Linked DNA regions of Arabidopsis thaliana. The protein of the gene in region 2 interacts with the protein of the main gene of each other region in a pairwise test. Each region holds a gene or a part of one and is shown on either strand. Other genes may lie near its edges.

Region 1 (2,600 bases), on a different chromosome or scaffold from region 2:
GTATGGACAAGTTTTTCTAGAACAAGAACTTGTTTTGTCAAAAACTTTTTGATACTTGCCATAGTTACAGATTTTTCATACATGTTCCTAATATTGTTTATCAAATGTTGCGGTGATAGTTCAACAACTAGACCTATAAGAGCAAGTCATGCTTCGATGTGGCACCAACCTAGAGTTTATAAACCCCTAAGCAAAATGAAAAAATGTAATTTATAGGAATGAAATAAATTTTCAAATAATAACTTATATCTAAAATATAAAAAGTTATGCAAAATAATTTATAAAATAGTTAGTCACAAAAATTGTACAAAACTAAAAAAGTCTTATGTGATTAACTATAACCTATAACCTATTATTTAGGAAACAATTTAAAAATCAATGATATTTACTTATTTTTGCTACTGAAAATGCAAACCTGTTATTAAGTAATCGTAGAAAAGTCAAAAGGATTGTTATTCATTAACTCCCCCAAAAGCCAAGAAGAAGGAGAGTGAGAAATGGAGAGAAAACTTCACGACCACATTCACATTATAACTCAAATGTATATAAAAATTATCCATAAATAGCCTAGTCCTCATTCTCATATTCCTTTTGATTATTAGTGAGAACACAACACCAACAACAAAATGGGAGACTCACATTGCCGTTGTCTTCATGGCTTTATTTTGCTTGTTGTTCTGTTTCTTTCCTTCGTGTTTAGTTTCGCTTCAAAGATAGACGTTTCTTTTCACGGAGACGAGAAACGTAGTCTCTCTAGCTCCATTAATTCCTCTCTTAGTGAGTCAGCGGAATACACAATGTGCGCGACTCATAAAGAGGCTAAGGATGGTAAACCAATCGCATTGGATTTCGATTGCGAACAAGGATATGTTATTTCAAAGATCACTTACGCCGACTATGGCCAATCCACTGGTAGTTGTGGGAAATTTAAACGCGGTAATTGCGGTGCAAGCAATACCTTAAATATCGTCAACAAGGTATACAAAATCAATCAAAAATACAAATTTTCTTTCAAATAGTGTTCTTATTAATTATTATCGTTTGTTTGTGCAGAAATGTCTTAGGAAAGAGAAGTGTAAGTTGTTTGTTCCAGACAAGATTTTTGGTCCGAGCCACTGCAAGGGAGCTTAAGTCTCGTTATTGACGCTACTTGTAGAAAACTTAGTTTTTTTCTTGTTTTCCAAGTTAAAGTTTCTTTATGTAATCGACCTAGTCAAGCTTTTGTTTCCTACTTTACACGTTTGTTACATTTTTTCTCTTTGTTGCAAACCCCAAATGTGTATGTGCCATACAATATCAATCATCTTTGCCATATTTTATCGAACTGTTTATAGGTTACTCAATATTTTTCTCCTCAAAAAATGTGAAGACTGACACGTACCAAATCTTTTAAGTGAGAATCACAACAAATCACATAAAACACCAACCAATTCCATTCTTTTTCCTCTTTTGACACACTTTAATCCAAATCTGATCAAGTTTTGGGGCCACATTGCAAAATTGGGGCCCGTTGTAAGTTTTGGTCCCAATCTGAAAATGCATATCCCACCGACTCTGACAATTAGGGCTTATAAATAAACGAGCACATAAGTTCATAACTTGGTTACTTCATTATTCTTCCATCTTTTTCATCAAATTGCTAAGAGAGTAAAATCGCCCCATAACGAAGTAACCATGTCGAAGAAGATAATCGTGTTGACAAGCTCCGATGATGATAAAGGGTATGGCAGAAGACGATTGTGCCGATAATGGAATCCCTCTTCCAAACGTGACAAGCAAGATACTCTTATTGGTGATCGAGTATTGCAAGAAGCACGTCGTTGAGAGCAAAGAAGAAGATCTAAAGAAGTGGGACGCTGAATTCATGAAGAAGATGGAACAATCGATTCTCTTTGATGTTATGATGGCTGCGAATTATCTCAATATCCAAAGCCTTCTTGATCTCACATTTTCAAACTGTCGCTGATTTGCTCTCAGGCAAAACTCCAGGCGAGATTCGCTCATACTTCAATATCGAGAACGATTTCACAGCAGAGGGAGAAGCTGAGATCCGCAAGGTGAATCAATGGGCTTTTGAATGAAAGTGGATCTTCAAAGTTCTTTCTTCTTTAGTGTTTTCGGTTTTCTTGATGCGATGTTAGATGATTACTTCGTCTATTTCTTGTTTGTTCTGTTGTTTCTTTTCTTTTGGTTTCTTGATGCATAAGTAAACCAATGTTTGTTGTATCTTTACCCTAGAGACGATCTATTGTTGGATTTTAGTATATGCTAACCAAATCTGAAGATTGATGTTTTTGTTTTTGAAGCAATTCTTGAATATATGTGAAGTCAAATCCTTCCTTTTTTTTTTCTTATGGTAATTGAAGTTTACTAATCCGAAACTAATTATATGACACTTGAATTTTGATATTCTATACTTGTATCATAATTAATAATCAAGCAATAAATGCAAATTGTCAAGATTGAACATTCTAAAATAGATAGTGTGAAAATTTGTTGTTCTCTTTGCGAAATAAAAACAGTTGTTTTAATATTCTCGTAGGAATATGATAAACCTAATTATAGAAAACTTCGCAGCCACATCCGCACACAAATTCGCA
Region 2 (3,757 bases):
AAAGAAGATGCTTCTATTCATAGGAGGTCTGATCGTTCTACAAGAAATTAAAAGAGCAAATCTTTATCAAAAGACAAATCCAAGTCACACAAAATTGCAATCCATCATTAAACAATAGAACCAGAATTAACAAAGAAAAACAACCCTAATTCCAATTCCAGAGAGATCAAACTATTTGTCTGATTTTGCCGCATATAAACTCATCAAAACAATCAGAAACAGAGACTTCAGAGACTTTAGCAATTCAAGCAAAAGGATAAAGAAACAGAGAGATTTTGAGAAGAAGATAAAAAGGGACCTTTCACGGAAAAAAGCGAGAGGTGCGAGAATGGAGAGAGCAAGAAGATCGCGAAAGACACAAAAAACGAGCTGATTTACACCAACGTTAAGAGCTACTTTCGTAACCACATGGTATCCTCCATTTATGACCTGAACCAATGTCATTGCAGAGTGAGCCATTCGTGTTTCTCTCTCCGTCGCATCGCCGCCGTTTAGGATCGCCGGAGCTGCCATTTTTCTTCTCTACCTCCGAATCGAGGAAGAAGAGAAGGAACACCTGTTGACTAAAGAAATTGAGATCCTTTGATTTGCTCTGTAAATTGTAATTCTAACTTCTCTGTTTTTTCGTTCCAAAAAAAAAAAAAACTTCTCTGGTCATTGTAGTCGTTGGTCTTCTTCAATTTGTTAACTATGATTTTTTGTTAAGTTGAGGCAAAAAAAAATTTGCCAGATTATTTTCTTAAATCTTATACACATTGAAGCCTAACAGATTAACACATTTGTTAAATATGCTCATATATCCTACTTAAAAAATATGAAAATTTTCCACAAAAAATGGTGTAATATAAAAATTCGGTTTACTCGGGTTAAACGGTTCGGTTTGTTCGGTTTTCCGGGTTTTTCGGTTTTCAAAAATTCTGCCGAATTGAACCGAACAAAAATTCGGTTCGGTTCGGTTCGGTACTCGGTTTTTTCGGTTCGGTTACTAGGATTTATAATTCGCCGAAATTAAACCGAATTTTTTTTAATCGGTTAACCTAATCAGTTTAGATCACAATATTAGGCATAGTGGGCTGTTTTTAAAGCCCATATCGGCTTTTGACATTTAAAAACCCAAAACTTTTTTTTTGAGGGACAAGTAAAGTCAAAAAGCCCATGACGGTTTTTAACTTTTCAAAACCCAAATTCTTTTTTTCCAGGGACAAGAAAAGCCCATCACACCCATCTAGGGTTTTGTTTTGTTTTATTTTTTGGAAATGACGGCCGTCAAAGAAAAACAAGGGTGAGATGAAGAAGAAGAACATTGAAAACAGAGAAAATAGATTTGTATTGTGCGGTGGTGAGAAAAGATGTAGAGAACCATGAAATCATTGCCAGAGAAGATCGATGTCGCGGTGGCTTAATAGAATATTTCTGCGAACCTAAAAGGTGGAGAAGAAGAACGAAGACAAGGAGAAGAAGGAGGAATAAGGAAGAATTAGAAGGTTAAAAGATAAAAATGGGTTAGAGATGAGGAGAAATAAAGGTGTTCGTGAAGAGGAGAGTTTAGAAAACAAAGAAGATGAAGTGATAGATCTAGGATTTTTCTGTTTTAAAAGGTATCTCCCCAATCCGAACAAAACCGATCGGTTTTGATGAACCGAACCGAAAAACCCGAAAACCGAAATCAATTTAAAATTCTACCGAACGATTTACAACAGAAAATCGGTTTGAAACCGAAAACCGAAATCGTCGGTTTGTTCGGTTCGGTTTAAACGGGTTATGCCGAACTTCCAGGCCTAATTTTTACAGTGTAATACTGAAGTTGGTAAAATATGCCTTTATTTATGTCGATTAGTGGATCTAGTAATATAACATTTCCTTAAATGAAAAAACTCCTTAAAAAGTAGTTGCTGATCCAATAACAAATGTTCTGTTTTAAGAAAATTTAATTATAGTAGTAGTTCGAACGTCGTTAACTCGTAATAATAATTCAGAAAAATGTTGTTATTTAATCACGTTTAGAAAGCTAATTTGTATTAATGACGCTAACGACAAGGAGGAGGGTTAGTGTTATGGGCTTATTTATTAATATATGGCCCATTTAGGTTATTAGCCCATTTATCAAAATTATTCGGCCCGAGGTCGTCTCCAATCTCACGCCACCGATTCCAAACGCCAACCCTCTCGAGTCTTGTCTCTCTCCAATCCTTTCCTTGGCCGCATAAACGCAACCATCGTCGTCGGAGCTTTGATCTTCACCGACTGAAAAGTATGTCTGTTTCCGATGAGGAAGATGAGTGTTTCGCTCGATTCCTCGAATCAGAAGTCTCATCGGTATAAAAATTTCTCCGTTTATTCAAATTTTCGATTTCATTTAGGGTTTAGTAATTTCTTCTCCATCAATCTTTGAATTTTGTAGCTGAATCTGAAATTCTGTCGAGATTTTCCCGTTCCCCTAGTTTTTTTTTTCATTTTTGATAACTTCAGTTCCTTGATCTGTAAATTTGATCTTATATGCATACATTTGAAATTTTTGAAAAATCACATAATTTTTGTTCATGTTCTTCGATTGATGTCCATTGTGATTTTGCTCTTGTTCAGCGTTGTCCTGTGAAAGGTTAGATTATTTATTGATGCTTTGGTTTTTGTAGGTAGAGGATAAAGAAGAAACGAAAGAACCTGAGGCAAAACGGCAACGTATTGAGAAAGGCGAAACAAAGGCTCTAGAGAAGGATGAAGATCAAAAGGAAAATGGTAACAAAGATAAAACTGATGCAAAGAGAATAGAGAGTGGAGTTTTCACCAATGTTCCTACTGAGCTGTTTCGTCATATTCTCAAGTTCTTATCTTCGGAGGTATATACTATATAGTTCAAACTCGAACTTTATTGATGTTTGAGGATTGCTTTTAAACTAAATTGTTTGAATGTCATTACAGGATCTTGTATCATGCTCCTTGGTTTGTAAATTTCTCAATTTTGCTGCGGCTGATGAATCCTTATGGCGTCGCCTGTAAGCCTCTTCTTGTACCCCTTATTGTCGTTGATAATCTTGTTTTCAAAATCAATACTTTGTATTCAAAAACGATGTGATGATCTTATTGGTTGTTTTTTGTTTATATGCAGGTACTGTATCCGGTGGGGTCTAACTCTTCCAAGTAGAAAGTTACGTGAATCTGCTTGGAAGAAGCTTTATATTGATGTGAGTTTCTCCTTGGTTTTTCGTATAAACTTGTTAGATGTTTCCAAGTAGTATTACATTGCTGAAGAATATACAGTGTTAGTTTGCGTTGCTAGTAGAAGTCAGATCATATATATTTTTAAGTGATTCCTTTCTCTTGTCGAATTTTAGCGTGATGAACAGGACATGATTGAACTTGTCAGAACCTGTCCGTCGGATTTCAAGGAGTATTACGTACATATGCAAGCAGCAAAGAGAAGCCAAGCACCTCTTCCGTCCCAGGTAACTATTTATAATTATCTGTTTATGTTTTAGGACAAATCATCACGTGAAGAATTTTCTCATGTTCTTGTTTGCAATTTTTAGATGGTGGATGACCGGATAATTCTTGACAATACTGTACTTGAACAAGTTTCTCTATGGAAGAAAAGCAAAGGACTTACTGATAAGGCTGTCACTGGCCATATTTGTTTGGGAACCAAATGTTCATACCATCAGATTGACGACGTGTTCATATGCAAAGAGACGGGAAATGTTCATGGTATGTAATGAAATGCTGTAAAATGTAACTTTGTTACTGTGTTTTACTCTAAACT

The links.
Region 1: the proteins of AT5G45360 (region 2) and SK6 interact in a two-hybrid assay, tested with the Arabidopsis thaliana proteins (2 studies listed by BioGRID).

What each region holds. Positions count from the first base shown.
Region 1 is NC_003074.8:19,668,458-19,671,057, forward strand, and holds SK6 (SKP1-like 6), read left to right. Parts: upstream 1-1,708; coding exon 1,709-1,966; downstream 1,967-2,600. Other genes in the region: AT3G53050 (D-galactoside/L-rhamnose binding SUEL lectin protein), read left to right, coding at 627-977, 1,054-1,131. UniProt on the Arabidopsis thaliana protein: Involved in ubiquitination and subsequent proteasomal degradation of target proteins. Together with CUL1, RBX1 and a F-box protein, it forms a SCF E3 ubiquitin ligase complex. The functional specificity of this complex depends on the type of F-box protein.
Region 2 is NC_003076.8:18,385,167-18,388,923, reverse strand, and holds the start of AT5G45360 (F-box family protein), read left to right. Parts: upstream 1-2,052; 5' UTR 2,053-2,253; coding exon 2,254-2,316; intron 2,317-2,633; coding exon 2,634-2,837; intron 2,838-2,919; coding exon 2,920-2,993; intron 2,994-3,106; coding exon 3,107-3,182; intron 3,183-3,332; coding exon 3,333-3,443; intron 3,444-3,527; coding exon 3,528-3,702; intron 3,703-3,757. Other genes in the region: UMAMIT1 (nodulin MtN21 /EamA-like transporter family protein), read right to left, coding at 1-37, 299-513.